Danio rerio: one gene and its partner. The protein of the gene in region 1 interacts with the protein of each later gene in a biochemical or structural test. Links are inferred from orthologs where the notes say so. Each region holds a gene or a part of one and is shown on either strand. Other genes may lie near its edges.

Region 1 (3,834 bases):
CAAATCTTGATCCAATCTGTGATCCAAAATCCCACTGGACTGCTTTTGAAAAAGTGGGCACAGATTATTTAACTGATGCGATTGATTCAGTGTGACTAATAAACGCACAACTATAGAATCATCTCACAGCAAGATTCATTTCAAACACTGAAGTTATTGCGAGTTTGGAGTTAAACCATGTTATTATTTGTTGCATGTTATTATATGTTACTTTTATTATTTACTAAACAGAGCTATAGTTCACTGAGAAGCAACTCAACAGCTGTTAATATTACAGAACAATGATTTTAATGTCATTATCGACCAAGCAAATCAAATAAATTTTTTTACAAATTTTTGTGTAGCTTCTCAGTGTACTACAGCTGTGTGTAGTAGATGCCGCTCCATCTGATGAATAGAAGTTTTACTAGAACCGTCTTCACTGAAAAAATGCACATAAAAATCCTCTTTGATTAATTTGCCAGCCCTAGGGTTAGAAGAAGAAACATATAATGCATAATAGAATAATTACTGATCACGTGACACTGAAAATTGGCAAAATGGCTGCTGAAAACTCAGCTTCTTTCCTTGCAGCAGACGCCCTTCCAGCTGCAACCCATCACTGGGAAACATCCATACACGTTCATTCACAGACATACACTACGGACAATTTAGCTTACCCAATTCACCTATAGTGCATGTCTTTGGACTTTTGGGGTGGAAACCGGAGCACCCGGAGGAAACCCATGCAAACACGGGGAGAACATGCAAACTCCACACAGAAATGCCAACTGTCCCAGCCGAGGCTCGAAACAGCAACCTTCTTGCTGTGAGGTGATTGTGCTACACACTGTGCTGCTTGCAGTATTAATATTTCACATTATATTTTTAATAAATGGTAAGCATAACTCTTTCAACAATAAAAACATGAAAAAATCTCAATTTTCAGGCCATCACACCTGTGTTTCCTGGTGCCGGCACAGCTGTGGCTGGTGTCGCTGTTTCAGTTTCTCTCTCAGCCTGTCCGTCTTGTGCAGCTGTGTCCACATCTGCATCCTCATCCATTTCACGTGTCCTCTCTTCTCCTCTTCTCTCCTTCAGCCTCTCTTTCTCCGAGATGCCTCCGGTTCCTCTCACTGCCACACATTCATCTTGAATGAGGAGCTCTGCTTCTCCTCCTGCACGCTCTCCATCTCCCCTTTCGCTTCCTGATCCAGAGTCACACGACAGGAATTCGTCTTCAGAGGGGCTTCGGTCTCCGTCCACAAGATTACAGCTGTCCAGACTGAGGTCAGGCTCGACTTCAGAGATGCCACCGCTGCAGTCAAACAAAGGCTCCTTCAGCTCCTCGTGAAGCTGGTCCATCAGACATCGCAAAAACTCCTGAGTGTCCTAGAAACAGGCAAGAAACAAAATGTCAATGAGGTTTATATTATTTCTTTGAAAATAATAGTCTTTAAAAAATGCACAGTAGACATCATATGAGTGTTATTACTGTTTAACAAAACTATTCAAAATCAATGTTGTCTGGCACCGGTAGCCTTGTGGGTGGTATGCTGACATGTAGCACCACTGCATTCTGGGCAATTAAAGTTCGAATTAAAGCTTGCAGACTTTTCCTGATAACCCTCACTCCCAAATACTCTAGCTTGTCTCACAAATCTCCTTTAACAATACAGGTAAAAATGTTTTTCAAATATATAAATAAAAGAAATAAATCTTTGAATAAAATACACTCACTGGCCACTTTATTGGGGTACACCTGTCCAACTGCTCATTAGCACAAATGTCTAATCAGTCGATCACATGACAGCAACTCACTGCATTTAGACATTTAGACGTGGTCAATACAATTTGCTGCAGTTCAAAATGAGCATCAGAATGGGGAAGAAAGGTGTTTTAAGGTATTTTGACATGGTTGATGATGCCAGAATTTGGCGTCAACAACATGAAAGCATTGATCAATCCTGCCTTGTATCAACGGTTCAGGCTGGTGGTAGTAGTGTAATGGTGCAGGGGATATTTTCTTGGCACACTTTGGGTCCATTAGTACCAATTGAAAATTGTGTCAACGCCACAGACAGCCTACCAGTGTATTGTTGCTGACCATGTCCATCCCTTTATGACCACACCTTTATGACCACATCCATCTTCTGAAGTCTACTTCCAGCAGGATAACATGCCATGTCATAAAGTGCGAATCATCGCAGAGTGGTTTCTTAAACCTGACAATGAGTTTACTGTACTCAAATGGCCTCCACAGTCACCAGAACTTCAATAGAGCACCTTTGGGATGTGGTGGAACAGGAGATTCACATCATGGATGTGCAGCTGAAAAATGCAGCAACTGCAACTGCATGATGCTATCATGTCAATATGGAGCAAAATCTGTGAGGAATATTTCCAGTTCCAAGTTGAATCTATGCCACGATAAAGATAAGATAAAGACAGTTGTGACGGCAAAAGGTGGTCCAATCTGGTACTATTAAAGTGTACCTAATTAAGTGGCTGGTGAGTGCATAACTTACTGATAAATAAAAAATCAAATAGCACTAAAATACTGAAATAAAAGAGATCTAAATCTAAAATTTTTTAAGCCTAAATAAAAGACCTGACAGAATTGCAAATAATATAACATACTATAATATTACCATAATATAACAGAAAAAAAACATTAAAATAAAAATGAAATAAATAAACACTACACACTATAGTGGAATTTAAATAAAACACACTACACACTATAGTGGAATTTAAATAAAACACACTAGGGCTACTACAATGTATTGTTTCAGATTGTTTTCAGATTGCACATCCACTATTGGCAGAATGTGCAGTGTCATGTAGGGATTATCAATGACTTGAAAACATGAAGTGGTCTACATATATCAATGGTCTTATATATATATATCATCATTATATTATATATATATCATATATATGATATATATATATATATATATATCAAAAATATATATCAAAAATGCTAAATATTGCTATGTATTTTTTCCAATATTGTGAAGCCCTAGAATACACCACAGTGCTTCCCACGGGTTTGAAATATATTTGCGGTGCTAGCTGGATTGAAACACACCTTTTACCCACATCAGATAAATAGTTAACTATATGCAACAAACATAACAATTTAATTGTTAACAATAATTAAATTTATTAAGAAACAGTTTCCTTACAATGGGTTAAGGTACAAAAAAAAAAAAAAAAAAAAGAAATTCACTATTTCTTTTAATTTTAGGCTATTCAGGAGCCATGTACACCCACTGACAGATAAAATCTGCTTTACTCTATCTCACAATTAAGTTCAGTTTGCTTTATTGGCATCAAATTAATAAAATATAAAACAAATTAGAAATAAATGACAGAAAAAAGGAATAAAAGTAGACAATATCTCAAAAAAATATAATAATTACAAGAATAAAACATCTAGATAATTTAAATAGGGCAAAATAATTGATTACCCATACTAATAATGTACATATATTTTTCAGCTAATTTAGAACTCATAATTTCTTTCAATTCCTTTCCTCTCTGAGTATATAGAATTAAAAAATAATTATTTAATGTTTCTCTCACTCTCTGTGTGCATAATTGATGACAGCTTTAGAAAGCGAAAGCAAAAGTCAAATCCCGGTAATTTCAGATTTAGAAACCCCAGTCTGACAAAAAAAGCGCATCTCTGTGGGTGTTTATAGAATGTGAAACTGTCTGTGAAAGGGTCGACAGGTCTTAACCACACAGATCGAGCATGAAACGGGTAAACGAGAGAAGATTTTCCACTACTTAATCGATTGTAGATGTTTCGTTCTATTGGGCGGATACAAAAAAAAATTAACATAC
Region 2 (3,834 bases), on another chromosome or scaffold:
TATTTGCATATGTACTTATCAAATCTGTAATTGTGTTTTATGTACATGTGTATATATATTCATATTTGCAATATATAAGCAATACTTGACAAGTCATGCCAATAAAGCTCATTTGAATTAGAATTTGATTTTGGGAGAGAGTGAGACAAACAATATGTAGTTAAAATCTTAAATAAAAAGTTACCTGGGTGGAAAAAGGTGTCTTTGCTTCGGTATCAATAGCAAACAGTTTCTCAACCAGGTCGAGTTTAAATTCAGAACTGATGTCTGGTTCCACTGGGAAACCGTAATCCATGGGGCTGTTGGGCTAAGATTGACAAAAAAAAACAACCTAAAGTCAGTGACAGTATCTCATTAACCATTACAAGGGAGCAATTGTTGTTAAATGACCAAGAATAGCAAGCGTTTAATAAGTGTTTACCCCCGAAGAGCCGAGTCCAGATGTGGAGGGTGTGTTTGTGGGGTCTGGCACACGATCAGAGGCAGAGCTGAAAGGGAAGTCCTCTCCTCCAGTCTCTAGTTTGGTCAGAGCTGGGATGGAGTCGCTGGGTGTGAGAGGAGATAGGCTGAGTGGCAGCTTCTCACTGCTGGAAGGCAGCATGACATCATTGTAGAGGGGCACCTCCTTCAGCAGCTGTATGTCAGAATCTGGAGGGAAATGGATACCGGTAATTATTATTGGTAGACCACCAAGGAACTGTGTGTATTTAATATTAGATTTACTTCAGTAAAATTATGAAAGCACATTTCCTGTAATCTCAGATGATTAGTGAATGACAAGAGTTGTTAGTCTTCATAAGATAAAAAGCTGCCAGGGGATTGCATTTAATCCTCTAAAGCAGTGTTTCTCAACTATGTGCCTGGAGGACCACCAACACTGCATGTTTTGGTTATCTACATTGTCTGTCACACCCATTATAGGCCTTTCAGTCTCAGGGAAAATGTGCAGAGCTGGTGGTCTACCAGGAATGTGGTTGAGAAACACTGCTCTAAAGATACACACTCTTGAAATGTTTATGGTCAGTAATACAGAGTTCACACCAATTGCAAGTTGAAGTATTCACATGAGTAGATTACATCCAAATTCAATGCAAAATTCTGTTAAACATAAAAGATGACTTTAGCAGAGTATAGGAAGTTGGTAGCCATTAGCTATGTAACAAACCTAGATTATCGCATAAAATGTGTGTATAAAGCAGCGTTTCCATCAAAGCGAACAAAATAGTCATTTCCTGATTAACTGGCACCAAATATCAACCAAAAAAAAAAACGAACTTGCTGGAGTAGAAGAAGCTGTGTCAATCTTCTCTTCATCTAATAAATGATTTGCACCTTAGAAGGCAATCCTGACACGCAATGAATGCGCAGTGGCGTTTGAAGGTGTGAGACACGAAGCACAGACGCTCTTGATTCTGGAGGTCATTAATAATATAATAACACTAATACTTAAACGGTAAGGCAATTTAGAATGACCAAAACAACATTTCAGCTGTTTTATATTGTGCTCAGCCAGCTGGTTTGTCCATTTACAAACATTTTCATCACATGATCTCTTATAACAGAATCACATGACCATTTTTAATGCTCATAATGAAATTTGTGCGGTAAAAGTGTTTTCATCGTAGTTTACACTTCTTTTCTTATCGAATAACAAGTTTATCCTACTCAGTTAAGCGCATAAGTTCATGCGCATTTTCAAAATGTATGCGCATCGTGGCGTTTCCATCAATCGTTTTTTTTTTTTTTTTTTTTAAATAGGTGGATCGAAGCATAGCTACTGACTTACATTGTAGGAAAATAAATACCGTTTAAGTCAAATGATACTAGTTTCCATCATTCAATAAAGAAACAAACATTTTTTTCTTCCATTCAGCATGCGGTATGAACTTCCATTACAACAACTCTTCCAGCAGTTCATAGTTGCATCCAACATCTCGTTTGTCATCGGGGGCATGCACGAATGAAAGTGAAAGTGCCAAACCGCAGTTAAAGTTGACAAATTAACAATAAAACACCCGAAATTACATGAAACTTCGGAGGAAATGCGGATAATGCGGTGACGCAATGACGGTAATCTAAGTATGTGCTATAACATGTAAAATGTGATCATGAAAGAAACTTTCAAAAAGCAACTCATGTAAACGCCTTTATCTTATTATTGTAGATTAAGGCAAATAATTCGATTACTGATGTCCATGTAAACATAGTCAGTGAAGTCTCTTACGTTGCAACAGAAATTTATTCTCTAAATAGACGTGCATTTGAACTTTCTACTCATTAAAACATTACAATTTTCAACAATGACTACAATAAATATTTCTTGAGCGAAAATCTGCATCTTAGAAATGACTTCCAAAGAATCCTGTTAAACTCTAAAAGCATACATCCCTGTTCATACATCCCCCAAATTACACTTTAAAGGTTTGTTTATGTTTAATGCCATGCCAGGTTCTTTGGTTATTTTCATGGCGAGAAAATATCAACTGACTGCAGTAAAGCTTAAGTATTTTTTCATTTATTGCTAAAATCTCTTAAACCATATTCGGTTTAACAGTGATAAAAATGTATTCAAAAGTAGCATAGTGGAACTAAATAAAAAAATGTCTCAAAGAATTAAAGCCAACACAAACTGTGTTGAGAGAGAACATGCTTCACAGATAAAGTGCTTTTGCAAAGACAACAGATTGGAGGATCTACTCCTACAGGTGAAAAACATACTGGGAGTATCTATAATTGTACTAAAAAACTGCGTGTCATCTTTGATTGACCCATTCTACAGTGGGTATAAACAACTTGATTCCACCAGTTAGAAATTTTAAGGTTTCTTTATCAATATTGGGGCTAATTTCACAGAGTTCACTTTAACTGTAAAAAATTAAAACTATAGACTAGAAGTGTTAATAAACATTGCAGGAATGTCCCTTAAGACTAATCTAGATGTGAATATATAAAAAGATATGTGCATCTTTGCTCATGGATCTTTTAATAAGCTCTCATTGAAACTGAATGAATTTAGGTGGCTTCCAGTTACTCTCAAATTACTGAAAAAATGTACCCATCCAGCAAGAATTACCTGAGTTGTTGAAGTCCAGAGAGATAATGGCGTCGCCTGCTGCAGGTGCCAACACAGTGAGGGCCTCTGGCTCCTCTTTCAGCTTATTATAAAGTGTAGAGCTTTCCAATGAGCAATTGAGGCTTTCTGGCTTGAAGAGCTTGAGAATATCCAATTCAGAGGTCTTTTCCTCAGTCTCCTCACTTTCTTTCTCAACAGCCTTGGGCTCAGTCACGGTCTGCTGCAAGGACAGGACTACATCCCCCTCTACAATGCCACTGGATAAGACAGAGTAGTAAAGTTGAAAATATGAGTTAATTAGCATTTATGCATACATTTTACATAGAAACGCACAATATATCATTTCAGAATCAATATCACAAGTGAATCCACAATAGTTCTATTGCAGGACCTGCAATGTCAAATTAGGATTATAGTTGACCAGGAACCACAGGAGTTTTCAAATACATGATTTGTAAAGTCATTGCTAATTTGAACTTTAAAGGTACAAAAAGTTTAACATTTGTATGTTTTTAAGGCCTGTGACAAATGTATTTCTATATTTTACATGATTTGATTATTATATTTTCGTCAGAATTCTGTTTGACTCATAGAAATAACATAATGTTGTGCCCCACTGTATTTATCAATGCTTGTGGCTGATTTATTGAATATTTTGTACAAATGCACTCCTCTAAAAATGATTGTTTCCAAATACAGTCATTCATTTCATCTGTTGAAGTATACAACAAATCGTGATATGTATAGCAGAAAAATAAAAT

What was found.
Region 2: of the proteins of usp20 (region 1) and hif1ab, one has a biochemical effect on the other in vitro, tested with the Homo sapiens proteins (2 studies listed by BioGRID and IntAct, with this or other methods). The link is inferred for Danio rerio from reciprocal best matches to the Homo sapiens genes USP20 and HIF1A.

The regions. Positions count from the first base shown.
Region 1 is NC_133180.1:33,926,387-33,930,220, reverse strand, and holds part of usp20 (ubiquitin carboxyl-terminal hydrolase 20), read right to left. Parts: intron 1,372-3,834; coding exon 939-1,371; intron 1-938.
Region 2 is NC_133195.1:22,873,779-22,877,612, forward strand, and holds part of hif1ab (hypoxia inducible factor 1 subunit alpha b), read right to left. Parts: intron 3,331-3,834; coding exon 3,074-3,330; intron 649-3,073; coding exon 422-648; intron 308-421; coding exon 185-307; intron 1-184.